Canis lupus familiaris: one gene and its partners. The protein of the gene in region 2 purifies or fractionates together with the protein of the main gene of each other region. This does not show direct contact. Links are inferred from orthologs where the notes say so. Each region holds a gene or a part of one and is shown on either strand. Other genes may lie near its edges.

Region 1 (11,840 bases), on a different chromosome or scaffold from region 2:
CTGCTGACCTGGGGGCTGAGACTGCTTCCTAGAATAGAATTCATTTTAGTGGAAGAGAATTAGACAGAGAAGCTCTATAAGAAAGACTTAGTCATTGGATGGGGAGTAATAAATACAGCTTGGGGTAGCTGTTACTCAAATCTGTCGCCAATCTAGCTAGGCCCATGAAAGCATGTCTGGGTTTCTAAGAGAAAAAGAGCTCTGAGTAAAAACATAAAGAGCTGTTTCACTGAACCTTCCATGATAGCGGGCACAAGCAATCTGCCTCGGGGTTCCCCTAAAGGAGGTCAACACCGTGATCTCCATTTCTGCAGGCTACCCCATGGCTGTGGCTGTTTTGCTTGTATCACAGATTCTGGGAAGGAGCCTACAGCACCTAGGAGAGCAGGGCAGGGGAGGGGGGCAACCAGGAGTGAATGTACTAGAGATCTCACATCCCAGAGGCTCCCGGAAAGCTAGAGGTGTCCTCATTTCCTTAGTAGGCCTGGTAGGCAGAAAAGCAGGGGAAATTCAAGTCATTATTGCTAATCTGACCCCATTAGTACTGTGGTCGATGAGTTTGAATACTATTTCTAATCAAATAGTTCTTAGGCAGTGATGTGTTATTAAGCATAGAATCATGCACTCTCCTAGTGCAGGGAAGCAGGGAACTCTGCAACAGTGATTTTTAATCTGTAGAGGACCAGTATTTTATTTTTTGAAAACTTCCACTGGACTGATACTTTTTGCTAAATACAGTAAAGGTAGGGATGCCTGGGTGGCTCAGTGGTTGAGCATCAGCCTTCTGCTCAGGTTGTGATTCTGGGGTCCTGGTTTTGAGGCCTGCATTGTGCTCCCTGCAGGGAGCCTGCTTCTCCCTCTGCCTATATCTCTGCCTCTCGCTGTGTGTCTCATGAATAAATAAATAAAAGCTAAAAAAAAAAATACTGTAAAGGTAAATTACCAGAATAATAGAAAAAACTGACATCAAAATATGAGCCCCAATTGTTTATTCTTAGATTCAAGTAGGCATAAAATTACTCTGTCAAGGTGTTATAAAAGTTTCCATAAGCTAATTTCAGTACTTGTCTAGCTACAGGCAGGTAACAGTTTATGGGGGTGTTCATGCATGTGCACTGGTTGGTGGGCACTGCTTCTTGCGATTCATGTTTTCATCCTACCTCTCACTTGATGCCATGCCATGTTCATCATCCACAAGTCTGTCCTCTAGCCACACACTTCAGTGAGTGGTTACGTAGGAGAGTGGCCTTGTTCTAAGGAGATACATGCAGAGTAATGACCTCTGCACTTGAATCCAAGCCCAGAGACAGACAGACGTTGGGGGGGTGGGTAGAGGTGTAGTTAGAAGAGAGGGAGAGGAAGGGACAGGGGAGAGGGAGGGGTTGGAGAGGAGGGAGAGAACTTCTGGTTTTTGATATTTGCCACTTCTACACGTTTAATCCCCATTCACTTTCACTCTCTTCACATTTTTCTTCTAGGTCCTATACATTACATACCATTACAAATAACTTTAATCATATCATCATACCTTTTTTTTTTTAAAGATTTTTATTTATTTATGAGAGACACAGAGAGGCAGAGACATAGGCAGAGGGAGAAGTAGGCTCCTTGCAGTGAGCCCCATGCAAGACCCCAGGATCATAACCCAAGCCAACGGCAGATGCTCAACCACTGAGCCACCCAGGTGCCCCTCATCACACCTTTTGGAAAATATCTCAGTACACACTAGTTGTCTTTCAAAATCAAATTTTTTATTCAAGATTTTATGCGATCTGATCTTTAACTCTTTTTTAGTTTTCCAGATTGCGTTCTCATACCCGATTAACACTATCATGAATACATTTTTATTTTTTATTTTATTTATTTTTTATGAATACATTTTTATGCCTTTCCATGTTATTTCTTCTCAGTCCTAGAATTCCCCCTTAAGCAGAATTCTGTTCACTCTTCAAGATTCAGCTCAAGTTAAACTTACACAGTTATATATTTTATTGTATAAATTTGTTCAAATCCTACATTCTTCATGAAATTTTCCTTGATTAGCTCAGCTAAATGTTAACCCTAATTTCCAGGGTTTGATAGAGTGCTTGGCACATACACTTTTCAGTTAAACTCTCTGAAAGCACTTACTTTACAATACAGGATAATACACTTCTGGTCTATCTCAAATAGTGGCTTTGAGGTTGAAATGTGTGAGGTGAATATCTTGCATTATATGTGCTTGGAAAGTTAACTGTAAACCATAATGCCCAATACTATTTTTTTAAAAGATTTTTATTTATTTATTTATGAGAGACACAGAGAGGCAGAGACATAGGCAGAGGGAGAAGCAGGCTCCCTGTGAGGAGCCCAATGCGGAACTCCGTCGTAGGACCCCAGGATCAGGCCCTGAGTCAAAGGCAGACGCTCAACCACTGAGCCACCCAGGTGTCCCTAATGCCCCATACTATTATTTTTTCAATTTTTGCTTTCCCTTGAGGAACATATGGGACATATAACAGCTGTCCAAAGGCCTAAGGTAGTGGGTATAATACTTGGGTACTCATAATCTATGAAGCAGGAGACTCTGTTTTTGTTTTATAAAGATTTTATTTATCTATTTGAGAGAGAGAAAGAGAGAGAGGGTGTGAGTGTACATGAGCATGAGCTGAGAGAGGAGAAGCAGCTCCCCAGCTCCCCACAGAGCAGGGAGTCCAACACAGGGCTCAATCCCAGGATCTTCTATCGAGGCCCCTAGGATCATGACCTGCGCTGAAGGCAGATGTTTAACCCACTGAACCACCCAGGCGCCCCCTAACAGGAGACTGTTTTAATGCAATCAGTTCTCAGATCTGCACTTCCCTTAGGTGGCTGTCCCTAAAAGTGATCTGCCTGAAGATACACCTCTGGTGTCAGAGTGTAAAGTTCTTTCCAGCCTTCCTTATCCCAGTTGCCCCTTCCCTACTTATAGAAAAAGAAAAGCATAATTCTTCTCCACCCCAAATCCTACCAAGGTGCAATACCCCAGGGGTGAAACAAAAATCTCCAGGATGTCAAAAAAAGGAACAATTGGTGAATGAGAATGGATAACACAACCTTAGAAGTCAGATGGTTTTCAACAACTTGCTTTCAACAATTGAAAGAGAACCTAATCAGGGTTGTCAGCTGATGGATCATTAAAAATAATTTTTATTGTTAGATCTTTATGTGATTCTTCTGGCATATAATTTGGAAGGAGTTCAAAGAATCAAGTTACTAAAAACTCCATTCATTTTCATCTACTTATTTATGCGAACAAGTTTCCTCACTGAGTACATCCATGGAATCGAAAACTTGGAATAGAATGGATGTTGAACTTGTTCTCATTCTGGTGATACTCATCCATCAATAAAATAAACTAGTTGGGGGCATCTGGGTGGCTCAGTTGGTTAAAGGTCCAACTCTTGATCTCAACTCACGTCTTGATCTCAGGGTCTTGAGTTCAAGTCCTGCCTTGGTCTCCATGCTGAGTGTGGAGCCTACTTGAAAAACAAACAAAAAAGTAGTGGGAACTAGCAGTTCTATCTCTGTAAGATGCATTTCCAACAACATTTTACTTCTGTGTTTAATACTTATGTAAGTATTTAACGATTTATTTATTATTTTAGAGAGAGAGAGAGTCCAGGCAGGAGCGCTGAGGGGCAGAAGGGAGGGAGAAAAAAAGAGAGATTCCTAGCTGAGTGAGGAGCCCTACCTAGGCCTCAATCTGAGGCCTGAAATCCTGACTTGAGCTGAAACCAAAAGTCAAGGCTTAACGGACATAGCCAGCCACCCAAGCGCCCCTCTTACATAAATATTTAAAAAAACGTGCTTTGATCATTCGAAATAATAAAGCTTTAAATTCTACGATCACAAGAGATTCAAACACGATCCTTAATTTCAATTTATTTCATTTTATTACAAGGGACTAGAAGATGATCAATAAAACAGACATAAAAGTCTATTATTAGGATAAAATTCTGGAGGGATGTGGAATGTAAATACGGAGGATAAAGGAAAGATGGAAATTGCCCAAGTATCAAAGAAACCGTATTTAAAAAAGTGGATTTGGTGGGCCTCAAAACTGCAATATTTGGAGTTGGCCGGCTATATTTAAAAGTGACAATGATAAAATATTCATAACCAGTTGGGGGAAAAAAAATGTAGATGTCTTTTTCAACTGCAGAAGGATGTACAGAATTTGGGGGACTCGTTAGCTACAAAGTCTGAAGATCCTGAGCAGAACCCAAGTCTGCAGGGAGGCCGGCTGAACCATTTCTTGGGGGGCGTTGGAATCACGGTTGGCCCCAAACCTGTGGCTCCACGTTGCGCGCGCGGGCGCAGCAGCTCGCCCCGTGTTCCCCGTTTCCACCGTCGCCAGCACCTCCCCTCTGGGCCGCGCAAGAGCAGGGACTTGTTGGATTCCTGGCTCGTCGCCTGCACACGGGGGTGGGGGTGGGGGTGGGGGTGGGGGGGGCGGACGCTCCCCAAACATCCCCGGAATGAATGACTTTATCGTGAGAACTCGGAAGGCTGTTAAAATCCCCGGCCAGCGCTCCAGCTTTCGTTCTGCGTGTCCCGGCGGCCGCGAGGCCCGGAGCAGGCGTGGGAAGACCCCGAGGAAAGTCTGAGCCCTCGGCGGGGGGGCGGGGCGGGGCGGGGCGGGGGCGGGGCGGGGCGGCCGGGGGCGGCGCCACCTCGGGCCTCCGCGCAGGCGCGCAGCCGTGTCCGCGTGAGTGCGCGCAGCGGCGCGCCTGTCCCCGCGCGGGCTCCGTAGCGCGTGTGCAGGCTGACGCAGCTCGCGGGCCCTCCTCCTGCTCTGCGGCGGCGGCGGCGGCGGCGGAGTTTTGGGCGTTTGGGAGGGGGCGAGCGAGGGAGCTAGAGTCAGGAGAGGGAGGCGGCGGCGGGGAGGAGGAGGAGGAGGAGGAGCAGGCGCCGCCATGGCCGCCGCTATCACCGACATGGCCGACCTGGAGGAGCTCTCTCGCCTGAGCCCTCTGCCCCCCGGCAGCCCCGGCCCGGCGGCGCGGGGCCGGGCTGAGCCCCCCGAGGAGGAGGAGGAAGAGGAGGAGGAGGAGGAGGAGGCCGAGGCCGAGGCGGTGGCGGCGCTGCTGCTGAACGGCGGCGGCGGGGGCGGCGGCGGCGGCGGCGGCGGCGGAGTGGGGGGCGGCGAGGCGGAGACGATGTCGGAGCCGAGCCCCGAGAGCGCCAGCCAGGCCGGCGAGGACGAGGACGAGGAGGAGGACGAGGAGGAGGAGGACGAGAGCAGCAGCAGCGGCGGGGGCGAGGAGGAGAGCAGCGCCGAGAGCCTGGTGGGCAGCAGCAGCGGCGGGAGCAGCAGCGACGAGACGCGCTCGCTGAGCCCCGGCGCCGCCAGCAGCAGCAGCGGGGATGGGGACGGCAAGGAGGGCCTGGAGGAGCCCAAGGGACCCCGGGGCAGCCAGGGCGGCGGCGGGGGCGGCAGCAGCAGCAGCAGCGTCGTCTCCAGCGGCGGCGACGAGGGTTACGGGACCGGGGGCGGCGGAAGCAGCGCGACCTCCGGGGGCCGGCGAGGCAGCTTGGAGATGTCGTCGGACGGGGAACCCCTGAGCCGCATGGACTCGGAGGACAGGTCAGTGCCCGGGAGGGTGTCCCCTTCCCTTCTCCTTTCTGCGCTCGTGCGCCTCTCGAGGGGGGCACGAGGGGACTTTCTTTTTTTTTTTTTTTTTTCTTAAACTGAGGTCCCCCTGCGCCCCAGATCCGCGGCCCCTCCCCCCGGCTCCCAACTCGGAAATCTCTCCTGCCCGCCGCGCCCCTCTCGCCGCGGATGGCCGCCCGCAACTCTCCGACCGGCCCCCCCCAACTCTCCTTTCCCCGCCCTCTTTCCCCCCTCGGCTCTGCGCTCCGGACGGACCTACGGACAGCGCCAACTCCGAAACAGCCCTCAAAGTAGGCCCCGATCCCCTGGCGGAGCTCCCGAGGGCCTCGATGCTCACACCCCGGTACACAGGGTTCGCTCGGCCCCACCGGTGTTCGCGAACACTTGTCAGAACTGTAATTGACAAGTGTTTTCCAACATGGCTGGTCTCGCCTGGATTTAACAGAACTTCCTTGTTCAGGGAGGAGACCCCCCCCCCCCCCCACCCCCCACTATCACTTTTCGCCACTTAGAAGGAAAACGACTGGCCTTTTGTAATTTGGTCAGTGCTTCTACAATTTCTCACGTGTAGTCATTATATACGCTCTCCAAAGTGATTTTGCTAACTTGTATTTTGCTTTGTGACTAAACGTGGGGAGAAAGTTTAGAAACACTTGTAGGAATTGTAGACGAGAATAATGGATTGATGTCCTTTAAGATGATGTGAGGGGATCAAAGAATTGGGAATCGTAATGAGGTACAGCCCGGAAGGCACACCATATTGGTATGTGGTTTAGAATCTTTAACAGGAATGTCATGATTTTTTAGACGGTGATATTAAAGTCGTGGATCGGAGAGATCTCTGAAGAAATAAGTAGCCTTTTTCTAAAGCTTGTTAGAAATAATATGAATAGGGATCCCCTGGTGGCGCAGCGGTTTGGCCCCTGCCTTTGGCCCAGGGCGCGATCCTGAAGATTCAGGATCGAATCCCACGTCGGGCTCCCGGTGCATGGAGCCTGCTTCTCCCTCTGCCTGTGTCTCTGCCTCTCTCTCTCACTGTGTGCCTATCATAAGTAAATAAAAATTAAAAAAAAAAAAAAAAATAACATGAATACAGTCGAAAATACGCTTCATGTTTTGGAGACATTACAGTTTATTGCATTAGTGTGTTTCAGTTATTACTTCTCATCACTTTGGAAAACTTCCTATTTTAACTAATTGGTTTTTAATGTACTTTTTTTTTTTTTAAACACAGAGACAACCATGTCATGCCTATTATACTGCTCCTGGCCTTTATTTTGACCATCTATTAATGTTTTGATGTTTTGATGAACAGTAGGATTTTTAACCATCGGTATTGATTGGTCTTTAAAAGTTTAAGTATTCTGAGGTTTTAGGAATTCGGATTGGTAACTAATAAAACGAACACTTTGGTTTATCGTTAATGTTACAAGGAATACAAAACTCTAAAAAACGTGAAAATATAGCACTAGATTCAGTTCGACATTTACTTTAGAGAAGAAAATACCTTGGATGGATGGATGGAGTAAAGTAGACTGTACAAACCCTAGAGAGACTGTGCTGAACTATGTAGGTATGGCAGGAAGGAGAATCTTTAAGATGATTAAAAATTGATGTGACCCACACAATGAAGCATATGTTATTTATCATTTTAGTATATCCTCGTCCATTGGTACCAGCAGATATTTGAAAGTTGACATCAGTTTATACAGTTAACATCTAGCACAGTTCTTCCATTTATCCAGCGTGTGTGGGCACACACAGGTTTAGCACTGCACAATTTAAATGTCTCTATTCATTCTCACAATTCTGGTGCAAGATAGGAATTACTTTGACTTCCATTTAACAGGTGAAGCAAATTGTCTTACTCAAAAAGTAAGTATGGAGTGGAAGAGCTGGATCCGAACAAAGGTTCTCAAGCCTCCTACTTCCACTTCACAAGAGTTAGAATACTCAACTCAAATAACAAGCTGTATGTGCCAGGATTTTTTTTTTTTTTTTTTAAGTTACTATTTGCTACATCCATTTAGGAGATGAACTATTATTGGTCAAGTAATATTTCAGGAAGTGGAGTTTTGGCTTCATTTCATATTTATAAGATAATCACTGGAATATCTAATTTTTACATCATATTTCAGAGTAAGGACTAAGATATTAGTGCCACAAGTCCAAATAAGGTTAAAGCTTCATAATCAAACATACTTGCTTTTCTTAATGCTTAAACATTAGAGAGTGCAAAATATTGTAATCTTTTTACTGTTTCAGAGTGAAAGATTATCACTTGTACGAAAAGGTTTTGCTAGTGAAACTGGATACGGTAGTCTTAATCTTCATTCTTAAATGCCCCCTTGTTGCCTTTAAGTTTTTTTTTCCTTAAGTGTCCTTTTTTTTTTTTATTTTTAAAGATTTTTATTTATTTATTCATGAGAGTCACAGAGAGAGGCAGAGACACAGGCAGAGGGAGAAGCAGGCTCCACGCTGGGAGCCCCATGTGGGACTCGATCCCCCGTCTCCAGGATCACGCCCTGGGCGGAAGGCGGCGCTAAGCTGCCGAACTACCCGGGCTGCCCTTAAGGGTCCTTTTAAATTTGGAAAGGATTCATAGTTCTTAGGAACTGTTCTGCAGATTACATTAATCTATGTAGATTTTATAAATTGATTTCATGGTAGGAGGCCATAATTACTTTTGTAACTGATGTAAGGATATCGTGATTTTAAAGTGCTTTTAAAAAATTTGGGCATTCCTATAAAAATAATTTTATTATTAAAATTTACTGTTCTAGAATACCTGTTCAATTTTTCTCTTACTTTGAAATTAGATCATACTTTTGAGTTTAACATACCTTGGAATTTGTTGAACTATCTTAAGTATTTTTAATTGTAAGTGCTTCTTTTTAAGAAACATTTAGATATAAAGACTTAGATATTTAAAGCTCAGATCCAAGGTGTCAGTTTATAAACATCTAGTGGAAATGTTGTGTGGTGAAAAATGACTGATTTATAAAATGAATAAATGACAATTGCTACAAAAACATTGATTATTTTCCCCATGAGAAAGTTATTCAAAACCAGAATAAGCATATTAGTGTGTTTATTTTGGTAAAGTTAGAAAACCTTAATGTTGATATCGAATTTATTTTCTTTAGGGGAATATTTAGCTGTTTGAGACCACTATGAACTAGTTTTTCTTTTACTTCAAACCTAAGCTTAAGTATTTTTTAAAAAATTATCACTTTAAAAAAATAATTACCATCTTTTAAGTTAATTTCAGAGACGAACTTTTAAATTTTTTTTTTTTTTTTTTTTTTTAAATTTTTATTTATTTATGATAGTCACAGAGAGAGAAAGAGAGAGAGGCAGAGACACAGGCAGAGGGAGAAGCAGGCTCCATGCACTGGGAGCCCGATGTGGGATTCGATCCCGGGTCTTCAGGATCGCGCCCTGGGCCAAGGGCAGGCGCCAAACCGCTGCGCCACCCAGGGATCCCTTTTTTTAAATTTTTTTTTTTTTAAATTTTTATTTATTTACAGAGACGAACTTTTAAATAGAATTTTAGAATTTAAAATACTTCTGAAAGTTTTTAAGTTCACAAATTCTAGCTATTGAATCAAATTATACACTGGAAGTATTACCTTTTCTGTGTAAGTGAATTGATAATTTCTTTTGTAGTTGTTTCATTCATATATATATACATGTATACATATATATGAATAAAACAACAAACAAATATATGAATGAAACAACTACAAAAAGAAATTATATATGTCATTTATATATAATATATACATGTATATACACATATATAACAATGTATTATACACACACACACATATATATGTATATGTGTGTTCCCCCTTCCCCCTCCAACTAGATAGAATAGAAGCCATAACTTGTTTTGAAAAGCCAAGACCACCATCAGCCACTTTTACCACCTTTCTGGGTAAGTCCATGCCAAGTGAAAAGTGCATGTGTAAGGATGGGGGTAATAGGGAAAGACATAAAAGTATGAAACTTAGTGATCAGGAAAGGCCACAGGCCCTTATCATTTTGTGGATCAAGATTTGTAATCCCAATCTTAGGGGGTTGCAAACTTTGAGGTGTAACTGACATTGCTCTGATGCTGGGAAAATGGGCTTATATTGCCCAAATTCTCAGTGGTATGACTGGGAAGATCTTCCAATTTGGAGTCTAAATTTTTAAGTCCTGTTCATACCAGAAGGCTGCTTGCTGAAGTTATCATCAAGATTTATTAAGGATCTCTATGGTTGAGGCAATGCAATACTTTTATGTAAAGTAATTTTTGCTCATACTTTATGATAAACTCCTTTCAGTATTTACCTCTTCAACTCTGAAGCAGCTGTCCATAGTCTCTAAAGTCATTCTTTTCAATGACCTTTTATTTTGATTAAGTTTAGGGAAAAGAGCTTTTTAGTAGGTCTCCGTTTTCTTTGATAACCTGTAACTCCCAGTTAAGTAAGGCATGGTTCTGTGCATGAAACAAATCATGAAAAAACTACAGACTTCAGGACTGAATTTATGGAGAGATTCTAGGGGGTCATTTTACTTTTAAGAAAAGTTAAGGCTACCATGTTGAGTCAGAGAATCCTGTAAGTTGATTTGCTAACCAAACAGGTATTTACTATGTGCAGGACTCTATTGAATATTGTGGAAGACGGGAAGAGAAAAATGCTTTCCGCTTCATCCATCTTGCGTATTGCTGTGAGACTTTTAATTCCAAGGTGTATGTTCCTAGCACAAGACTTTATTGAGTCTTATATAAACAGAGTCAAATTTTACACCTTGCCAGTTGTATTAGCTATTATTTATTGCTGTGTAGCAAATTTCTTTCAAATTTAGCAACTTTTAAAGGAACAGACATTTGTTATCACACAGTGGTTTCTGAGAGTTAGAAGTGGATAGGCTTAGCTGGGTGGTTCTGGCTCAGAGTTTCATGAGATTGTAGTGAAAAGGTTGGCCAGCACTGCAGTCATCTGAAGATTTGACTGGGGCTAGACATGTGTTTCCAAGATGGCTTACTTATTGTAGCTCTTGGCAGGATGCTTCAGTTACTCACCAAGTCAGAATCTGTGTATCCTCATGACATAGCAGCTATTTCCCCTCAGAGCAAGTGGCAGAAGAAGCCACAAAGTCATTTTATGACCTAAATATACTTATTTTTTCTTCTTCCTACGTTTTCATGTAGCAGGTAAGTTTTTCCTATTTTCTTTTTTCATTTATTCCCTGTTACACAATAATTACTTCAGATTTTGTTCACTTAAGGCCCATCAAAATGCCACAACGAATTCTGGCTTTAATTTCTTTTTCCATTTAATTCCTATAGATGTATTTTTTTCCTTCCTGCTTATGGCTTTATTCTAGGTGGTGGGATATAGAATGCTTGTATAAAAAAAATAGAATGCTCGTATAAAGAGTGTGTATCTGAGTCAAAGGTCACAATTTAGATCTTGGTCTTGCTACCTGTATTATGATTTTAAGTAATATCTTTGAGCCTTGGTTCCCTAACTACGTAAAAAGGTTAGATTTTACCATGAAGGTGTTCTAAAGTGCAAAAGAATTTCTGGTAGAGTCCTGTGAACTTTCTGAAGAATCCATGTTATTTGAATGCTTGCTTTATCCATTTTGTTGTACAGTGGTGTTTTTGAGAGCAGAAACAGTTTTAGCTCATTTAGATCTTTATAGTGTCTAAATACAGTACCTTGGATATGGTGAGTAATTAATTATTAGCATTAAATTGAAATAACAATACAATTTATATAAATAAAGGGAACTATAAACTGAAGGCCAGGATTTAGTGCCTTTGGTTGGATCATTGTATTTGATATTGCTAAGTTTAGTCATTGGGTCAGTGTACTCCAGTAAAGCCAGTGAGATCCTATGCAAAATTTTATGTGATTTCTCTGAGAAGATGTTGACAACTTCTAGCAGATTTTCAAAGGAATTTGGTCTAAGAGCTACTAGTTTGGGGGCACCTGGCTGGTCAGCTGGTAGAGTATATGATTTTTGATCTCAGGGTCATGAGTTCAAGCCTCATGTTAGGAGTAGAGTTTACCTTAAAAAACAAAAAGAACAAGGGGCACCTGGTTGGCTCAGTTGGTTAAAAGTCTGACTTGGTTTCTCCTCAGGTCATGATTTCAGGGTTGTGGCATCGAGCCCTGTATGGGGCTCAGCACTAAGTATGGAGTCT
Region 2 (11,210 bases):
TGAAATATGCTTTTAATATCAGACATAGATAAAATAATTGGTACTGAAGATTAAGCATGTATCAACCTTAATCACGATAGTGCATTATCATCATTTATCCTCAATTGGATTATTTTAAGCTATATTAATTTTTAAGTGGCAGATCACCAAAGTTATAATATTAAGAATTCTTAAAATAGTTTAGCAAGTCCTCTTATCACTGACCAGCCATGTAGTTAGAAATAATGCATCTGAAAATCTGTTTTGCTTTTTCATGTATAAAGTTTTTGTTTTATAAAGGATTCTCTAATAGAATTCCTTAAAATGCTAAGTTCTCCAGCATAAGCTCTTTGAAATATTTCCCATACATGTAAAGAAAAAGCCCTGCCTTGCTCTATATGCTTATGTTGGGAATAGAAGTTATTCAGGGTTCAGAGAAGCCTTTTACTAATTTCTGAGCTTTCTGAAATCAGCTGTGTTCTTATTTCTACATTCTGTTCTTGATTGCCTTTTCTCTTTTTCTACATTATTATTCTAGTCAAGTTTATTCTTAAAGGCTTGTCAAACCTGTAACCTTCCCTCACAATCTGCAGGTACTAAAAAATGTTCTCAAATCAAAACTCTTCCATGAAAATGCTTCTGTGTGATTTTTCGTTATCTACCAAGGCTTAAGTTTGGAAATCAACATCTAAGAAGAGTTGATAACTTTTTCTCTTTTCTTGATAATAGCTGGGCCCAAGTATTTCTTTACAAGTGATATAGGTCATAATGCCACACTTTCTAAATATTACAGCTCTCTAACCCAGCTCTTGCTCTGTTGTGTCAGTAAGTGTAAAGATAACCTACAGTTATAGATCTAATAAGGGATTTGTATCAAGAGCTCTTAAAATTCAGCAAGACAACCCTTTAAAAAATGGACAAAGGTGTAGAACAGACTTTCTAAAGAATATACACAAATGTCCAGTGAGCACATGAAAAAATGCATAATATCGTTTCATTAGGGAAATACAAATCAAAAACACAATGAGAGGGACATCTGGGTGGCTTGGCAGTTGGGCATCTGCCTTTGGCTCAGGGCGTGATCCTGGGATTCCGGGATTGAGTCCCACATCAGGCTTCTTGGCGTGGAGCCTGCTTTTCCCTCTCCTTGTGTCTCTGCCTCTCTCTCACTGTGTCTCTCATGGATAAATAAAATCTTAAAAAAAAAAAAACCCACACAATGAGACCACTTTATACCTACTAGGGTTTTGACAGTAATCAAAAAGGCAGTAACATATGTTGACTAAGAGGTAGATAAGTTTGAAGCCCCTTACACATTGCTGGTGGGAAAGTAAAATATATCTCCCTTAAAAACCAGTCTAACCTTGCAAAACTCATATTTAACATTCAACAGTTGGTGCTGCTGGCAGGAATATCACTCAGATATAAAAATTTCTATTAGTCATGCTATTTTGGGTGGACTATTATCAAAACCTAAGCAAATGGCGACCTGGATTAATTCAAACTTCATTCAAGGTCTGATTTTTGTCCTTTGAGCCTGCTAAGACCCTTAGTCTAATACTCAGCACTTAATCAACTTCACAAAAGTATCATAGTAACATGAATAGATAATCTAAGACCATAAAAAAACAGTGGCATTTCCTACAGTTTAATTACCATAATGATCTGCAAATGTAGAAACATAGGTCCAGAAAATTTTGGGAGCTGCTTTTGTTAAATATTAAGCTTTCCAATATGTTACAATAAAATTTCCTGTGTTCTTTTAGTTTCTAAGTTGTATCATAATCGGGCTATATATTTTGTTTAGACCATATATTTAGAGACATCTGATTTCAAAAAAGCAAGCAACAGCGCCTTGTGAAAATGTCATATAGGTTATACCATGGCTGCACATGCTGTTATAGACCATTAATTAAAATATGATCGCCTTTTTAAATTAAAGAAGGAATCAAACATCACTGATTAAAAGTAGATACTATTTTATTGGAAAAAAAAAACAGTCTAGCAGTTCCTCAAAAGGTTAAACGTAGAAATACTATTGCTGTGTGTGTATGTAGTCAAGAAAAATGAAAACAAGTGTCTACACAAAAAATTGTACACAATTGGAATCAAGAAATAATTTTTACAGCAATGTTAATTTCTACTATTAAACACAATTTATAATTGCCTTCTAGTGTATGGAATATGTTAATATTCATATATAGTATAGGCATTGTTATATTTCACAGAATACATTTTTATGTTGTTGCTATATATTTTGCTGCTAATGTTTAGTGGAAAATGAGATTGTTCAAATTACAGTTATATTTCTAGGAGGTCTATAATACTATAAAAGCTTGTTGTGGTGTATGTAGTTTTTAATCCTATTTTGGGTTTACTTTAGAAATCTTGCAGTCCCCTTCAATTTGTAAATGTGGATTCTGTGGAGGAAAAAGCTTTATCTTACTCTGTGTCATAGAGTATCTTACTCTGTGACATGTAAGTTTCAATGTGAAACCTAAGTCAAATCTCTAAGTATTATCTCAGGAGCATGAGTCCATCAAATTAGGATATGATTTGAGGTAAATAAGCTAAACATATTTTAAGACGACATAGATATTTCTTTCTGATCTGAAAAGTTTGAGCTCATACTTAAGTCTGCATGTTGATGTAAATTTTTTAAGCAGTTATATAATGTAGATTACATTCCCAGTCCTCCCTGTGTATTGCTGAAGTCCAAACTTTTGTAGTTTTTACTTCTTTACAGAGGTTTTGAGAGTCCAGAGTAAATGAAGGATAAAAGTCCATTTTAATTCTTTTTATGTCTAGATCATGCCTTACGATTGTGGAATATCCAGACAGACACTCTGGTGGCGATATTTGGAGGCGTAGAAGGGCACAGAGATGAAGTTCTGAGTGCTGTAAGTTGAAAGCTGCAGGGCAGTGACCATCAGGTGTACAGAGCTCTGAACAATCCTCATGGAACTCTGACATGAAAGCATATGGTTGGTTTCATATAGTCTGCCAGCCACTCATTTTATTTACTTGGAACATAATAAGGTTTTTAGTTTACAGATGAAGGAATAAAGCAAGTAAGGCTCTTTGTGCTTTATCTGTACTCTTGCACTTTATACCAGCACCTAGAATCTCATGAAACAATACCATGAACTTGTTCAATCAAAAATCACCAAGGTAACTTTTGTTTTGCTGTTTCTCAATTACTGAAGAAAAAGGTTAAGCTGCTTAGCAATTGAGATCGGCTTTCATTTTTTATTTGAAGCTGAAATATAAGATCTATTTTTAGGAATTGTTTTATTATGCTTAAACTAAGTTTCAGGTAACCCTTTGGTTTCATGGTATCTTTATGTTTTATAATTTGTTGATTCATTTTAATGATAATGATATTTTTGGTCAGCTAGTATTTTCACATTATTTTAGCTTTACTTACATTTTATTTTATAGCTTATCTAGTGGTTTTACAAGTCTTCGGTATTTTATTAAACTGTAAAGAGGCACCATGTTTTGAAGCAGGTAGCGTTTTATTTGAAAGGACTTAAATATTCCTGTAGTTAGAGTTTATATTCTTTGGAGAATCATACCTACCTCCTCAGCTACCTTGTCACCTTGGATTTTCTAAAGTTGCAGTAGCATTCTCCCATCTGGTTTTGTGTCCTAAAAGCCATGACACCATCCGTTAAGAATTATAAATTCGAGGGATCCCTGGGTGGTGTAGCAGTTTGGCGCCTGCCTTTGGCCCAGGGCGCGATCCTGGAGACCCGGGATCGAGTCCCACGTCGGGTTCCCGGTGCATGGAGCCTGCTTCTCCCTCTGCCTATGTCTGCCCCCCTCTCTCTCTCTCTCTCTCTCTCTCTCTCTCTCTCTCTCTGTGTGACTATCATAAATAAATACAAATTAAAAAAAAAATTATAAATTCGAGCTACTGATCGTAAGGGTGTCTTATTGCTGTTGACAGGTAATTAGAAGTAGCAGCAACCAGACTTGTGAATTCAGTGAACACCAAACCTAAAACCCTTAGGCTCTTGTAAAACAGTATTCATGACCAATTCAAAGGTTGGAGTACACAGAAATATCTAGATTAATAAAGAAAATATTCTCTTCCTCAAATAGAACTCTGTACTGTTTTCTTCCCTTTTTTTTTTTTTTAAATCTTCCCTTTTTTTAAAGGTTTTATTTTAACACATGAACCATGTGCTAAATTAAATAGCATCTTGGTGCCTCATTGTTTTATCTATGAAATAAGGTGGGATAAGGTTGTTATTATAGATGTTCTGTTACGTGTCTTCAAAATTAGTAGGTAGCAAATGAAAAAGTTAAAATATCTTGTCCCTTTTTTAGACCTTTTTTTTTTACCTTTTTTCTTTTTAAAAGTGAACTTATAACCTATATAACAAGTATTTTACTTAGGTACACAGATAAAAGTAAAATTTCAGTTTTGTTCAAGGACTCATTGTATAGTTTCACATATAGCTGTCAGTTTCATTGTTTAATCAGGGTTGGACAAAGAAAACTTACATAGGTCTTTGTGTCATGGAATAATTGTTTCAGTTTATAATACATGTAATATATAATGAATAATTCATTCAGTTTACTTTCAAAATCAAAGGAAATATTTAAAGATAATTGAATAGATAAAACTAAATTCAAATAATTTACTTATATATTGTATAAGCTCACATATTGTGATCATGACAAATCAGTTAAAATAAATCTTGAAAAAAATCTTGAAAGCAGCATCAACTGATTTATGGACTACATAGATAAAATGTATGTATATGACTTGAAATACGGTTTTCATTATGTTGTACATCAGATGAAAATTGGATAGTTTAATTTTGGGCAATTTTGGATATTTAAGCTTTTCTGTTTTACATACAGGACTATGATCTTTTGGGTGAAAAAATAATGTCCTGTGGTATGGATCACTCTCTTAAACTTTGGAGGATCAATTCAAAGAGAATGATGAATGCAATTAAGGAATCTTACGATTATAACCCAAATAAAACTAACAGGTAAAAACTGTGCTATTTAAAACTATTTCATGCTGTTGGATAGATGCATTTTACTTTCTCTGGAATTTTTAAATAATTCTCCAACATTGAGTTTAGAAGCCTTTTTTAAATAACTTTGAGGTACCAGTTTACCATACCATAAAGTTTACTCATTTTAAATCAAAGTCTTATTTTTAGTCTAATGTTTGTGGCTCCTTTTTCAAAATCCCCCTTAAGTTGTGGTTTCATCTTAATTTAGTGGTACTTTTCACTTATTTTTATTTAGGTAAGCACATGCTTGGCTATTACATTATAACAGTTTTAAGCTGCTTAAACTTGGTGTGGGATAGAGTAAAGAACCTTTCAGAATAATATTACTTGTATTATTTGTCAACAGTCTAATAAATTCAAAGTCAAGAGAGTAAATCGTGATTTTTTAAAATGGGTTTCTTGGCTTTTATTCGTGGTAATGTAATGCTTTCCTTTAAATGATGATCCATATTTTAGAAGGAGAAAATTCAGAAGCAGGGAGGGCCTTGCTTCATGGGACTCTGCGAACTTTAGAGTTTTCTTACAAAAAAATATATGTGTGTGTGTGTATGTGTATATATGTATACACACACATACACACATACCCAACATGCAGCTCAAGCTTAAAGCCCCAAGATCCAGAGTTGCACGTTTCACCAACGAAGCTAGCCAGATACCCCTCTTAATATATTTTTGAAATGCTTCAATTCTTAATTCGGTCATTGTCTTTTCAGAATCTTTTCAGGCTATTAATGTTTTCACTGTAACTGTCATGTCTGTGTATATTAACTTTGCACTTCTGTTTTAACAAAAAAGCTAACATTTATTTTCTGGTTATCAAACCAGGTTATTAATAGATTGTCAGTTAAATTTATAACTGTCAACAAATATTTCAGTGCACTAACATATATATTTGGCTAAAAAGCAATTAACATAATTATAGTAGAATTGAGAATTTGTATCAGATCATTAATAACATTTTAATGTTTTAATAAAGAAAAGCTCCCAGAATTTGAACTGGAAGGAATGTTTGAGATGATTCAGCCCAACATCCTTTTTACATATGAGAGAAAAGTAAAGAGAGGACATGTGAGTTGCCCAAGACACAATTAATTCATGGCATCATATCATTCTTCTACAGTTATTTCAGTATAAAACTGAATCATTAGATTAGAAATGTTAGGTATACTTTTAATTATAGAATTAGTAGCAATTTCTATGCTTGGTGGTCTTCTCACAACATTTTTAAGGAAAAAATAGCACTATGTTTCACTTTCCTAAATAGAGGAAAAGTCTTAATAAATGCCAGATTCCTGTCAGAGGTCATTTTTAGAAATTGTTGCTCAAGGCAAGACTCATCTAACCTTATTTTTAGCAGCCTTTGGAATGATGTGTCATTGTTCCTAGAAAGGTGACTATCTTTTGAAATAATTTAGATATGTTGAGTTGCATAGATTGTTAATGCTTAATTTTAAAGGATTGAGTAGATAGCTTAATGTTTTCCATGAGAAACTTTTGGTGCTGTAATCGGATGACTGTGCTTATCATTGGTTAGGATAGCCAGAATTGAAGTGATTAATTTTGGTCTACATAGTAAGATAAGCAGGTATAATTTTTATAAATGAAATTTCATAAGATAAAATTGAAGGCCGATAATGGAAAAAATACAGAAACAAATACATGAAATGAGACTTTAGCTCTCGATAAACAGGAAAGTTGGCAGTTTTCTAGGAACACAGAGTTAATAGTCATATATTTCATTTGTCAATGTTTTATAAATCTGAAAGTGAAAATTAATGTGATTCTCCTATGGTAATTTTTTTTTTTTAACTTTTTTCTTTTAACTTTTGGCATTTCCATTTCAGGCCATTTATTTCTCAGAAAATTCACTTTCCTGACTTTTCCACCAGAGACATACATAGGAATTATGTCGATTGTGTGCGATGGTTAGGTGATTTGATACTTTCCAAGGTATGCTAACTGCTGTTAAGCTGTACTTCTATTTGTGTTTGTGTGAGTTGGAACTTTGCAGGGAGCACAATTTATTTTATATTTTGGTAAATTGGATGGCAGATGGGAAATTCCCTCCCCTCGCCCCTCCGTAAAGTCTCATAGATTTGGAAACTTGTTTTAGGCATAAAACATCCTGATGAATTATTATAACTTGTGCTGCAATAATAGGAAAAACGTTAACTTGTAAGATGATATTCTTCTGATATCCAGTATTATAAAATAACCAATATCTAAAGCCATAGTGAGTTTTTTGTTATGTCGTGTCCATTTCAGTAAATTTGTATTTACAAAAACAGACAGCTGGAGTTGGCTATGGGCTGCAGTTTGCCAACCCCTGCTCTCTAATGTGTTGATGTACATTTACATATTTTTTGCTGATAATTTAGAGTATTGTTGGTGATGTTATCTGAACATTTAGGATTGTCATATTTGGAAAAATTGCTATCCAGTTTCTTTTCTTGATGTGGATTTCAGGGCGTTTCATATTTTCTTGGGCAGAGCCTGACTTTTTTTCTTGGCCTTTTTACCCTTTTTTTTTTTTTTTTTTTTAACTTTTGATCTTGAGATAATTAGATTCTCAATAAGTTTCAAAGAAAGTACAAGAGGAGTCCCATATTGCCCGTCACTCAGGTTCTCCCACATACATCTCACATAACTGTAATACAGTATCAAATTTAGCAAATTGACATTGTACAATGTGTGTGTAGAGTTTATGTTGTCTTTTCATCACATGTGAATTTTGTCATTTCAAGAATGTTACTGTATGGGACCCTTTAAGATTAGTTTTTTCCACTTAGTATAATGCCATCCAAGTTGTTGTGTGTATCAGTCGTTTTCCTTTTTTATTGTTGAGTAGTATTCCATGGTATGGATGTACCACAATTCATCTATTGTAGGACATTTTGGTCCTTTTCAGTTTGGGTGTATTACAAATAAAGCTGCTAATGAACAATCGTGTACAGGTTTTTGTGTGGACTTAAGTTTTCATTTCTCTGGGATAAATGCCTAGAATGGCAATTGCTGGGTCATGGTTAAGTTTGTTTAGTTTTTTAAGAAACTGCCAAACTATTTTCCAGAGTGGCCGTGCCATTTTACATTCCCACCAACAATGTATGAAAGATCCAGTGTCTCCGAATCTTCGCCGGCATTTGGTATTGTCACTATTTTTTATTTTAGCTGTTCTGATAGGTGTGTAGTGATATCTCATCATGGTCTTAATTTACATTTCCCTGATGGCTAGTGATGTTGAACATCTTTCATATGCTTATTTACCATCCATATATCCTTTTCGATGATGTCTCTTCATATCTTTTCCTCATTTTCTAATTGGATTGGTTTTGTGTTTTTTTATTGTTGAGTTTTGAGAGTTCTTAATATATTCTGAATATGAATCCTATGTCAGATACGTAGTTTGCAAATATTTTCTTCCAGTCCATAGCTTGTCTTTTCATCCTCTTAACAGGGTCTTTTGCAGAGCAAATGTTTTTAATTTTGATGAATTTCAATTTATTGATTTTTGCTTGAAAAAAATTATGGATTGTGCTTTTGATGTTACATTTAAAACCTCTATGCTCCGGATTCTAAAGGTTTTTTCCTGTTTTCTTCTAGAAGTTTTATAGGGTTATGTTTTATATTAAATGTATGATCTATTTTGAGCTAATTTTGGATGAGGTTTAGAAGTAGTTCATTTTTTGCCTATGGGTATCTAGTTATTCAGCACCATTTGTGGAATAACTGTTCTTTTTCCTTTTAATTGCTTCTGCACCTTGGTCAAAAATTGTTTGGCCTGTTTGTGTGAGGCTGTTTCTGGTTTTTCTGCTCTAGTACCTCTACCACTAGAATATATATACAGTCTTGATAATAAGTCTTGGAAACAGTTACGTGTTTTCTTCCACTTTATTATTCTTTTTCAAAATTGTTTTAGCTCTTTTGATTCCTTTGCCTTTCTGTTTTATATCCGTTTGATGGGGGAATTAATTGACATCTTTGCTCTCCAGTCCATGAACATAGTATGTCTCTCCATTTGGATCTTTTGATTTTTATTATCAGCATTTTGTAGCTTTTAGCCTGCAAGTCCTATACATACTTTGCTAGATTTATAATTAAGTACTACTTCTCTTTTTTGGGTGATTGTAAATGGTATTTCTAATTTCTGTGTTTATTGCTAGTATACAGAAATGCAATTGATTTTTCATATTGACCTTGCATCCTGTGACCTAGCTATGCTGCTTACTAATTCTAGGATTTTTTTTGTCTAGTACTTGGGGTGTTTACGTAGACTATCACCTCATCTGCAGGTAGGGACAGTTTTATATCTTCCTTTCTGACCTTGCCTTATTGCACTGGCAAACTTCCAGTTTTGTGTTGAATAGCAGTGTTAAAATCCGACATTCTTGACTTGTTTCTGATATTAGAGGGTAAGAATTCTGTGTTTCACAATTAGGTATATTAGCTGTATGGTTTTTGTGGATGTTCTCTATCAAGTTGAGAACTGTACTCCTTACTAATTTTTTGAGAGTTTTATCATGAATGGGTGTTGAATTTTGTCAAATGCTTTTTTCTGTATCACTTCATGATACAGATATAGTTTTTCTTCCTTAGCCTGTTAGTGGATGTATTTTATTGGCTTTTCTGTTTTTGTTTTTGTTTTTTTTTTTTAATATTGATCTGGTCCTGTATCCCTGGAATGAGTATATTTGCTCATAGTGTGTAATTTTTTAAATGTGTTGCTAATAGCTGATATTTTGTTAAAGATTTCTGTGTTTGTATTCATGAGGCTATGATACTAGTCTGAAGTTTTTGTAATGTCTTTGTCTGGTTTTGGTATTGCTAATACTGGCTTCATAAAATGAATCGGCAAGTTTCCTCTGATATTTTTTGGGAAGAAATTATATAGAAATTCCTCATAAATGGTTGTTAGAATTCTCTAATCATCTGAGCCTAGAAATTTTTGAGAGAGAGTTTTAAAGATACAGATTCCATTTCCTTAATAGTTAAAAGAGCTATTCAATTAACTATTTCCTATTGTGTGAGTTGTGGTAGTTTGTGCTGTTTAAGGAATTGATCCACTCCATCTAAGGTAAAATTTATGTGTAGAGTTGTTTGTAACATTCTCTTATTTTCCTTTTGACAACTGCAAAGTTTCCTGATAGCTCTGTTTCATTCCTGAAATGGTAATTTGTCTTCTCTTTTTTGGTAAGTTTTGGTAAGGGCTCACCAGTTTTTTTTTTATCTCTTCTTCCTTTTGTTTGCTGTGCTATGTTTTGCTCTTTGACTAATTTCTTAAGGTGTGGGAGCTTACATTATTGAGTTGAGACTTTTTCTAAGATAAGTACTAGATGCTAGAAGTTTTCTTTTCAGCACTTCTTTAGCTGCATCTCACTAATTGTGATATGAAGTGTGTTTAGTTTCTAGGTGTTGGAGATTGTGTTAATCTTTATCTTACTGATTTCTAGTTTGATTTCATTGTGTTCAGAGCATATTCCCTGTGATTTGGTTGTTTCTGAGACTTATGACTATCTTGAATGTGTTCTGTGGGAACTTGAAAGGAATGTGTAATCTGTTTGTGTGGAGCTCCATACGTGTCAGGTGCTATTGGTTTGACAGTGGTTGAATCCTTATATAACTTCATTGATTCTTCTCTCGACTTATTTTATCAATTATTGAGAGATGGAAAAGTCTCCAGCTGTAATTGTGCATTTTTTTCTTTTTGCTTTCAGTTTTATGATGTTTTGCCACTCTGTGGGTTGCTTGTTGTTGCTATGTCTTGGTGACTGGGCCTTTTTTTTTTTTCTTTAATTAATTTATCTGGGCTTTTTTCCTATTTTCCTGTAGGTTACATGATTTTTTGTTTTTTTGTAGGCTCTATGCTCAGTGTGGGGCTTGAACTGAAGCCCTAAATCAGGGTCTCATGCTCTATTAATAGTCAGCCAAGCAGTGCTATATAAACATTTTTTAGAATCCCACTTAAAATTTTTTTAAAAAATTTGTTTGAGAGCGAGCTCACATAAGAGAGAGTGTGAGCGGGGAGAGGACCAGAAGGAGAGGGAGAAGCAGATTTCCTACTGAGCAGGGAGCCTGATGTGGGGCTCTGTCCCAGAACCTCAAGATCATGACCTCACCTGAAGGCAGATACTTAACCAGTTGAGCCATCCAAGTGCTTCTAGAATTCCATTTTATCTGTAATACTGAGTATATTTC
Region 3 (10,078 bases), on a different chromosome or scaffold from region 2:
AGGCATACTGATAGCTCTAAAGACAAGCTCTCTACCAGAGAACCTTTCTACAAGTCCTTCAAAACATTCAAAACGTGATTAAGACAGATCCAGGATTACCTGAACAGGCACTTACGATCTCTTTTCCTTCCCACACTGGAGCCCTCAGGAATTGCCCAAATAGTGCAAAAGTGGCACAGCCCACAAGAGAAAACTGTTGTTCCCAAAGCCCAGGATTCTTACTTCTAGCTTCCCTTAAAGTGTAGTTAGGGTAACCATTAAAGATTATCGCAGATGAGAGAACAAGCTACTGGATTCTACTAAAGTAACAAAGGACAGTTAAAGAAAGGAAGATGCAGCCTAGCAGACATAGTTAAAATTTATCATTACACGTGTATGTTGCAAGACAGGCTCAGAAAAAGCACACGTGCAGAAACTTTTTAAAAAAATTCAGTATTGGTGGGAAACAATTTTGTTAAAAATTTCTATTTAAAGCTCTACTTAAATTCTATTAAAAGCTGGACTCTATCATCGTGTTTTCCAATCAGGAAACACACCAGGGAAGAGGCCTATACACAAATAAATAAAAGCGAGAATGGGGAGAAAAATCACATTTATTAGTTCAGACAACCACAGGCTGGACACAACACACATGCTAAAAAGTGGACTGTCTTAAAACTTACTTCAAAGGTAAATAGGTAAATGTTTTCCACAGCCCCACAATCATTTCAGTAAGTGTTTACAAATTAAAAGGCCGTTAAACATTAAACAGTAAAATATGTAATAAATACTCCAACCTACCCCAAAAGCTTCTTATAAGTTAAAAGTCATAATGAATTTGACTAACCATGCTATTGAAAACTTTTCAGTCACTAGAGGCTGAATCAGTTTTCAATGTATTAGTCCTAAAAATACCACTTCCCCTGTCCCCCAACCCCAAGCAAACTCTAGTAAGATTTTACATTTTAGAGATAAGGCATTGACACCAATTAAAGCCTGTTTAATAATCAGAATTTAAATGAAGTCTCATAAAGACCTCTCCTCTCCTGACAAAAAGGAACATATATACCAGACTCTCTGGGAAGACATTCAGACCTATTTCTAGTCATTATTGAAATGAAGTGTTAGAAAGATCGGTGAGCCAAAGTTAAATCTAAAATAATCCATCATCCCCTGACCTTTCTAGCAATAAAAACCCATGTTGACCTAAGACGACTTGTATAAGTCACTGTGCTTTTGGTTATGTTGCTTCCTCTTGGTTCATCATTCATTTACTTTCACGGGGTTTTGTTTGAATATGAATAGACCCTCCAGTTTTTAAACTCCTCTAGAGTTCCCTGAATTATGGTAAAGACATTCATGATTCCCAGTGTCAACTACAGTTAAATGTCCCAAGAGCCTGAAGACTACAATCTGTATAAATTTAAAGTCTTAGCTTTGTTCACCATTTTGCTAATTCACATTAGAGCCAAGAGCAAGACTATAAACTGTTCTGAAAAATCAAGTTATTTGGAGCTTTTCAAATATAAAATTTTGCGAAGAAATAAAGTCATCCACGTTGTTCTCACACTAAGCAGTTTGAGGGTGGGGCTATACAGTTGATTATGTCCTATTTTAATCTCACTTCCCCATTCTGCTAATAAATAGGCTATTAAATGACTCACCTGATGAGGTACTGGCAGAAAGCCTTAATACAACTTAGCCTACAATTGTAAATTTACTTAATCTCATTTAATTCTTGCAATATAAATAGATCATTTTTAAGAAGGGCCTTCTGTTCTCCCCACTTCCCAAACCTAAATCATAGAAAGGAGCAGTTAATTTAGTTTTTATGGTTAAAAAAAAAAAACAAAATCAAACCAGACCATCTAAGCAAAGTTTTACATGACATTATAGATGTAAAATAAAGTACAATTTCCACTTAATTCAGTCTTCAAATATTTTTTATTGGAAGGCCATGCGTTGCCTTCATTTATTGTATTTCAAATCACTGTACATTTACTTTTGTGAAAACACTGCCTGCATTTTCTAGTACAAAAAAAACCTAAAAATTGTTTCAGGAATGTAGAGAAATATCCAACTTAAATAGCGAAAAAGTGCACCATAATTACTGCTGCACTGCAGTCATTTCTGCATTTCCCATGTTTCTTAAATAACTATCTTGTCTGATAACACACAATATAAAGAGCAATTATGAAAAACAGACATTTACATATACTTCTAAAGTCTTATTGAGAATATCCTGTTGGCATTGGATAACCAATCATAGGCGCAGCTGCAGTAGCAGGATATGCATATGCCTGTTGGTTCATACCATTGTGCATATTGGGAACATTACTTCCATATTGCTGAGTGCTATCGTAACCATTCTGGTAAGTCCCTGTTGGATTACCAGTCCTAAAACTGGTCTGTATACCAGCAGACACAAAATTACTTCCAAAGCTCCCATTGGTGTAATTTGCAGCACTGTAAACACCATTCTGAGTTTTTGCCCCAAAATCTCTCTTAAGCAGACTAGAGTAACCTCTGTCATAATTTTCCCTGTCTCTAAAGGTATTAAAGCCACCCCTTTTGCCCGCAGAGTATCTGTCCCGACGGTCATCCTTCATGCCTCCTCTACCCCTGGAACGACCTGTCAAAAAAAAAAAAAAAAAAAAAAAGAATTGCAAGCTGATTATTTCCACAGCACAAATCATTACTAGTACAGAAAAAATTAGAAAGAAGCTCTATTCAAAGTTTAAAGTGTTTTCTCAGTTTCATATGAAGATTTTACTCACCTGCCAATCCCATTTAATGGATTTGCAGACAATCATGTGACCCCAAAATCACCAACATTTCTTAATGAAGGTTAGTCTTACCTGAACCTCTGTCTTCGACCAACTGAAGCAACTTTGGATTAATTGCTTGATTAGCTTCACGAAGCACAGAGATAAGGTCGCTCACTTGCTTTATGTTATTAGGTGTAAAGAAAGTGTATGCTGTGCCTGTTTTGGTACTGCGAGCAGTTCTTCCAATTCGATGAATATAATCCTCTGAGGAGTTAGGGTAGTCATAATTGATGACAAATTTCACATCTTCCACATCTGTAAGGTGTTGCAGTGTGGCAAAATAGCAATGTACGGAGTTTTGCACACCACAACAGCCAGACCAAAAATAAAAAGTTAGACAATTGTATTCCCAAGAAGGTACGGGCTGCAAAAAATACAGTTAAAATGGTTATCCATTCCCTGTAGGAATACCATTGAGGTTGGAAGGAAAAAAAAAAAAAAGCACACACCATCTACCTGTCTCATTGCCCACCCAATGACAGAGCACCTAACAAAAGGACGTGTATTCTCTAACATATTCCCAAACCAGCAAGTCCCCTTACAGATCATCAAGTGACATCTGAATGCTTCTGCGCAGTAGGGCCACTTAAAGGTTCACAGCAACCTCTTCATGTGCTCATTTTGAGGACCTTTAAACAAAAATGTACATGGTCCTTTGCATTACACACTCATCAGAAGTTCAAAATTCTGGCCACACTGCTTGTCTTGCCAAGACCTTACAACCGCAGCTGCAAGAAAAACATACCTGTCCCCCAAAAGTTGTTTTTATGCACTGTGTCTCGTCTAGGCAAGCGCTTCCAAGAAGCCAGGATTCACTTGAGAATGTGTCTCTCTCTGGCAGGTCTCGACATGACGACTACTGTGTAGGTGAGGGAGGAACTTTCAAAGCACTGCTTTCTTTTCCCACTGACTAAGTGTGAGAAGTTGCTCCTGCTCTAGATCTCATGTGCCAGTACTCACCAATTTGTAAAAGGCTTAGTACCTTTTAAAGCTGCTCTCTCCATTTCAAACTTGAACAAAAATTTCATTGAACATTGAAGTTTGGAAATATTTCTTCAACATTTCAGCAAACTCACTGAAACTCAAAGACCCACAGATCACAGTAAACAGTTTGAAACAATGCTGTACCATGGCAGTCATGCAAAGCATGGGACAGAAGAAATACCACGGCAGTGAACTGTGAGGATAACTTCCATTTTTTTCCCCCGGAGAGAACAGTTTACGGGGCAGAGGTGGTATGTTCTGCCTTTTGAAGATTACTGGCACACTTTCAGCTTTTCACCTCTCTAATCGACTGGAAGCAGCCAGCCGATCACTAGTCCTCCATCCCCCTCGAGTCCTCCGATTGTCATGCCTAGGCCTTGCCACAAAGACTGCACCTTTATATGAAAAAAACTTAGAAAAAATGCAGAGGTTAAAGAAAGCAATAAACTTTCTTTAAAAAAATTATATGGAGATCTTCTGGGAAACCAAGCCACGAATTCGAGTTTTTACTAACCTAGCCCTCTGGAGGCCACATCTGTAGCAATCAGAATAGGAGCTTTTCCATGTTTGAATTCTGTGAAAAAGAAACGATCATCAATAATCTGAGAACTCCAGGTTCTGAGGGAAAAAATTTTTCATCTGACTTACCATTTAGAACCCAGTCACGTTCCTGTTGACTCTTGTCACCATGGATACCCATGGCGGGCCACCTACATTCAAGAAAAATTTTGTCAGTAGGCTTTGCATTTAAAGCCTGATAGGTTTTACTTTACTGCCTATCTAGTCACTAATTCCTTTAACTTCACCTGACCCATGCAGTTTTATTTACACCAGGTAAACTTATCTATGACATTCAAATCCACTTGCCCCTTCCCTTAAATTCAGCTCTCATATACTTGCTTTAATGGAAAAAACTCACATACCCGTCTCTCCTCATTTTTCTAGTAAGCTCATCACATCTTCTTTTGGTTTCAACAAAAACAATGGTTTTATTCTCCTTCTCACTCATGATCTCTTCCATTAGACGAATAAGTCTTGGAGGGAAAAAAATAGTGAATTTTAAAAGAAGTCCATGATTATGGCCACACATTTATGGTCACTCAAGAACTATCTTCAATTTACATGGCTATGAATGAAAAAACACCTGCTTGAACACTTATCAAGCAATTCTACCTTTGGTCCTTAAACCACAAAACAGGTTCCTCTCCTAAAAGAAATGTTACCGATAACCAATTTTGTGAATGAAGGAAATATTGCTAAGATTGACAGGATTTTAAAAGAACACGTTCACATTCTACCCTATGTAAGTTTCTTAACTTCTAAATTTGTACACTGAACTTTTAGTTCTATAAAAAACTTACTTTTCATCCTTTTCTACGTCATGACATACATCCACAATCTGAAGAATGTTGTGATTTGCACTCAGTTCCAGTGCACCAATGTTTATATGAATGTAATCTTTCAGGAAATCTTCAGCAAGCTGTCTTACTTCTTTTGGCCAAGTTGCACTCCACATTAGGGTTTGCCTATCAGGCTAAAGAATGTTGGATTTTAAAAAAGCATTGTATTCTAAATAAATTTAGAGCCCCGTTTCAAAATAAAACATTTTTAGGGGTACTTACTCTTATCTGATCCACAATCTTCCTTATTTGGGGTTCAAAGCCCATATCAAGCATTCTATCTGCTTCATCAAGGACAAGGTAGGTGGTTCTTCTCAGATTGGTTTTCCCACACTCTAAAAAATCAATCAGTCTTCCAGGTGTTGCAATACAGATTTCCACACCTTCAGTTAAACATATAAATATAAATAGAACTGTAACATCTAGACTTTCTAACACCAACAAAAAGAAGAAAAAGGATTTTTGTTACGTGCCTCTCTCCAAATCACGAATCTGTGGTCCCTTAGGAGCACCACCATAGATGCAAGTGGACTTCAATCGACATGCTCTACAGTATTCAGCAGCGACTTGCTGTACCTGTTGGGCCAGTTCCCGAGTTGGTGCCAGCACCAAGCACTAAGAGAAACAGAAAGTGGAATAGGTTTTTGCAAAGTCCTGGATCCTAGTTTTAAACTTATGAGCATTTACTGGCATTACTTCAGCAGCTAATGGATTTTGCTGTCCAATATTCCAGGATAATCAAGGCAACTTTGTCTCCAGTTAAATTACATAACACAACTGATGTCTCTATGTGAAACTACCAGAATTGGTTTTGCTATATATTCTGCAACTCTCTTTATTGTACTCACACAAAAATTAAGAAAAAATACACACATATATACTTACAATAGGCCCATCACCTCTCTCTAGGAATGGCTGATGATTGATATGGACGATAGCAGGCAGCAAATACTATTTGGGGTGGGGGAACAAAACAAAAGTTAAATTAAAAAGCTTCTAATTTCCTTATATCACTAATCCATTTTCTCTAACATAATCACATATTAAAACTCAAAAATTCTTCCACACTTACAGACAATGTTTTCCCGGATCCAGTCTGTGCTACTCCAACCATATCCAAACCACTTAGAGCAACGGGCCATCCCTGAGCTTGAATTGCAGTGGGTTCAGTAAAATTCTGTCTTGCAATCACATCCATTACATTTGCTGTAATTAGCAACAGTAATTCAGTAAATTTAGTGAAGCTAAGAAAAAGGGTGAAATTAATAAAGGGGGGGGAGTGAGTGCTCTGAACTAGCACTTACCAGGGAAGTTTGCTTCATAAAAATTCAGAACTGGCTTTGGGCAGTTGTGACCTCTAACCGTAATTTCCTTACTCCTTCTGTATGTCTCCACCTCTTGCTATAAAACAAATTTTAATAACCTACTAAGTACCATAACAACCTTCACCAATATGCAGTCAGCAGGCCTTAAGTTTATCAAGGATTAGCAAACTGTAACGGGCCATTTAAAATCTATATCCACATATAGAAAACCTACAGAGCACAAGATCCATCTATTGTAGTTATATTTAACCACTCTAAACAGAAAAATTCAAAGATACCACTTGCCAAAGCACCTCCTCTTCCTCGACTATCAGAAAATATGAGTTTTCCAAGGCCTCTGTTCAAATTTCTGTTTACTAAAAGTCACTGTTGAGTTACAGCCCAAGGAAGCCCTGTGAAATTACTCACTGCTGTGCGCCTAGCCAAATCAGGGTGTTCTTGATAAAAATTCTTCTCAAATTTGGGCAGCTCATCAAGATTCCACTTCTTTTTGACTAATTTCTCCCCAGGGTTTCCAAACTTCTTTCCAGATAGGGGCCCTGCCCTACTTCCCCCAAATCGAGGTGCACCAAACCTGAAATTAAAACAAAAAAGTTATATTTTCAACTACCTACTAAGACGTTTACATACAGACTATTTATTGTCCCTTGACACACAGTACAGATAAATGAAAGACTTTTCGAGGTTTAAGACTTAGCACTGTCCTTAGTGATGGGTCATGCTCTCAAAAGCCACAATTAGCACCATCTCTCTCACTTTCCGTTGTCCCAAATACACACTATTGAAGCCAAATCAACAGCCCGGGATTTATCAGGTCGGAAATTGGCTGCCCAAACGCCCCATGTTCAGATTACAAGGATAGACAACAGCTTGTGGCTCCTAGTCTTTCCCGTGAGCTTAGGCATTAAATGTCTGGGGGAGAGACAATACAAGGGAGGTGCGTAACAGCAATGTTATTATCAGCTCTTTCCAAGCCAAGCAGCTTTGGTTCTAAGGAATAATGGGACAGCACCAACGAGAACAGAACAAGGACGGTGGTCTCAGAGACATTTATGCAAGCCCATCGAATTGGGGGGATCCCCCCGGAGGGCTCCTCATCAAGATAGCAAAATTATATAACGCAAAGAAAAAGAGGAGGAGGAGCTGGCAACTACCGGGGGAGGAGTCCCGGACCGGGCGGCGTTCCCGCTGGGGCGGCGCTTCCCCCTTTGTCTCGCATTTCTCTCTGCGCCACATTTTCTCGACGCTGCCATTTTGAGCTCCTCCGCCGGGCGGGGTAACAAAGGCGCCGCCGCCATGTCCGGCGCCGGCATTTTGTACCCGCGGCTCAGCCACATGGCCGATTCCCGCGGTGCCGGCCGCCCTCCTGCTCCCGCGCCATCAATGGCTCGTGAGGCGACCCCTTCGATTACCACAGAACTCCCGGGGCCCCTACAACACTTCCCGAAAAGATGCACCGAACAGCGGTGACTTCGTTCTCCTGAAAGCGTCGCGCTTTCCAACCATTGAAATACACTCCCCCGAATTGTCCCCAACAGCTGCTCAGTCGGCGGGGGCGGGGGCTTCGGCGCCTCCCCCATCCCCCCACCAACAAAAGGCGAGCTTGAGGACCGTTAACAGGGAAACATCCCTCTGTCAGTTCCGGACAAATATCAAAATGGCGCAAGCCTTCGATTCGTAAAGGTTAAATATAGCCGGAAAAAGCCGACTGTCCATCGCCCCCGCCCGCCGCCTCCTTCATCGGCCTCCCATCCCCCACTGCCGGGCCTGACAAGTCCGTTCCCACACTCACCCTCGATCCCGGCCGCGGTCTCGGTCACTCGAATAACCCGACATGGCGTCAATGGTTGCGGTTGGCGGGGAACGAAGTAAAGAGAATCGGGTGCGACGAGTCGCTGCAGGTGGCTTTGGCGATGGCAAAGCCTTGCGGGGGCGGCAGCGGCAGCGGGGCGGCGATGACAGGGGCCGGAGCTGCTCGACAAGAGACCGGTGGAAATGAATGAGGTGCCGGCCGCGTCCCGGCAGCCGGTTTTATAGCCTGGACCGCCTCCTCCGCCGCGGAGAATGCTGGGAGCCGCTCTATGACCTAATCACCCCGCCCCTGCGCAGAGGCCGCAACGCCCGCCGGCGTTCCGGGATCCGCCATGTTCTCGCCCCACCCCCACCCTCCGCTTCCCTCAGAGTCGCCGGCTTGGGGCCCCTTTCACGGCTGGGCCCACCCGCACTGAGACGCCTTAGCCTACTCTGTGTTCTTCACCTTTTTCTCGTCTTTCCACACCTCAAGGAAGCCACCCCGCCCTTTCCCAGGTCTAGCCCTGCCGACAAAATGGCCAGCACAGACCAACCCACTCAGCCCACTTGGAGATGTTTACGTCTCCGAAGAGCCTTCACGCCCCTAACCAAGTGAGACGGGAAGGCGGAGCCTGACATTGTCACGTGACTGCTCCCGCCCATCGGGTAAGCGGACCGCACTACTTCTCCACTTGGCGTCGGCGGAGGAATACGAAACGAAATAGCTCGCCGGAAGTGCCGTACTATTGCCCCCGGGAGGCCGGCCAGGGCCGCTGGGTGACCCGGCCTGTCAAATCCACCCACCTGAGAATCCCTCAGCGGGATCTTGCCCGCGGAGAATGGTACCTAGAGCCCACAAACCGCCGCCTGGGCGCGTGCTGCGAAAGGAAGTCCTCCCGTGATGACCAATCAGCAGCAAGAAGCCGTTTTAACGTCCCTCCCTCTTTCACCCCCTGCCCTTTCGTTTCGTTCTCCCCCCACCTCGGCGTTGCGTCTGCGCTGTGCGGCCCTTCCCGGACGCCGTCCGCCTCGCGCCCAGCTGGAAGTCCGGCAGCGACCTGCCTCCGTGACATGGCCGGCTCAGAGGCTGGTGAGTCTCGGCCCGGAGCCCGGGTGTGTGTGGACTGAAACCCTTTAAGTCCGCCGGACGCTCCTAGGCCTTTTATCTCGAATCCTCCGGCTGGACTCCCTGGGTCTGGGCTGCCGGCGGGGCTGGTGACAGACACCCAGTCGCAGTCGGCGGTTCCGTGGGTTTCTTGGCCCCGCTCTGGGTCCCCCTCCTAGAGGCCATCTAGCGAGATCTTGGGGTGTGGAGAGAAGAACCCCGTGGCGAGGCCCGCAGCACGCCCGCAACCTGGCTGCAAAAAGGGCAGTCGGAAAGCTGCTTCCCGGGACTCGTGTTTCTCTGGGGCATCCAGCCACTGTCAGCGCGCTCTCTGCCTCTTGGATTGTGGGGACTGAGGCCGTTACCTCCATGTGCATTGAAGTTTTGAGGGGAACGGCACTCTAAAGATCTGCTGATGCTCCTGCCACAGTAGGATAGTGGCGGATTTTTCTCTTCAGTGCCCTCTGGAGTTACCTGCATTGTCTAGCAACCGCTTTTGAAAACCGAGTGGGTTGGGTTGTCCGGGACGCTTTTCTTTTCATCCTTTCCTCAGGACAGCGTTCAAACCAGCTCGTGGTTTGGTCAGCTGTGAGAAGTGGGCACGGGGACAGGGAGATAACGTGCCTTGAACGCGCTCAGTTCGTCAAATACGAAGTAGAAGGACTT

The links.
Region 1: the proteins of EED (region 2) and AEBP2 purify together in Homo sapiens (affinity purification with mass spectrometry; 6 studies listed by BioGRID and IntAct, counting the BioPlex papers as one, with this or other methods). This does not show direct contact. The link is inferred for Canis lupus familiaris from reciprocal best matches to the Homo sapiens genes EED and AEBP2.
Region 3: the proteins of EED (region 2) and DDX5 purify together in Homo sapiens (affinity purification with western blotting; 3 studies listed by BioGRID, with this or other methods). This does not show direct contact. The link is inferred for Canis lupus familiaris from reciprocal best matches to the Homo sapiens genes EED and DDX5.

Annotation. Positions count from the first base shown.
Region 1 is NC_049248.1:18,426,337-18,438,176, forward strand, and holds the start of AEBP2 (zinc finger protein AEBP2), read left to right. Parts: upstream 1-4,846; 5' UTR 4,847-4,937; coding exon 4,938-5,608; intron 5,609-11,840. UniProt on the Homo sapiens protein: Acts as an accessory subunit for the core Polycomb repressive complex 2 (PRC2), which mediates histone H3K27 (H3K27me3) trimethylation on chromatin leading to transcriptional repression of the affected target gene.
Region 2 is NC_049242.1:13,363,266-13,374,475, reverse strand, and holds part of EED (polycomb protein EED), read left to right. Parts: intron 1-2,787; coding exon 2,788-2,879; intron 2,880-4,854; coding exon 4,855-4,988; intron 4,989-6,862; coding exon 6,863-6,968; intron 6,969-8,086; coding exon 8,087-8,161; intron 8,162-11,210. UniProt on the Homo sapiens protein: Polycomb group (PcG) protein. Component of the PRC2/EED-EZH2 complex, which methylates 'Lys-9' and 'Lys-27' of histone H3, leading to transcriptional repression of the affected target gene.
Region 3 is NC_049230.1:14,616,509-14,626,586, reverse strand, and holds DDX5 (probable ATP-dependent RNA helicase DDX5), read right to left. Parts: upstream 9,140-10,078; 5' UTR 9,112-9,139; exon of another isoform or gene 8,668-9,111; intron 8,488-8,667; 5' UTR 8,353-8,487; coding exon 8,309-8,352; intron 7,091-8,308; coding exon 6,925-7,090; intron 6,593-6,924; coding exon 6,496-6,592; intron 6,398-6,495; coding exon 6,264-6,397; intron 6,143-6,263; coding exon 6,077-6,142; intron 5,807-6,076; coding exon 5,665-5,806; intron 5,575-5,664; coding exon 5,414-5,574; intron 5,326-5,413; coding exon 5,153-5,325; intron 4,826-5,152; coding exon 4,715-4,825; intron 4,502-4,714; coding exon 4,440-4,501; intron 4,366-4,439; coding exon 4,306-4,365; intron 3,063-4,305; coding exon 2,838-3,062; intron 2,612-2,837; coding exon 2,208-2,611; 3' UTR 1,905-2,207; downstream 1-1,904. Other genes in the region: CEP95 (centrosomal protein of 95 kDa), read left to right, coding at 9,379-9,397. UniProt on the Homo sapiens protein: Involved in the alternative regulation of pre-mRNA splicing; its RNA helicase activity is necessary for increasing tau exon 10 inclusion and occurs in a RBM4-dependent manner. Binds to the tau pre-mRNA in the stem-loop region downstream of exon 10.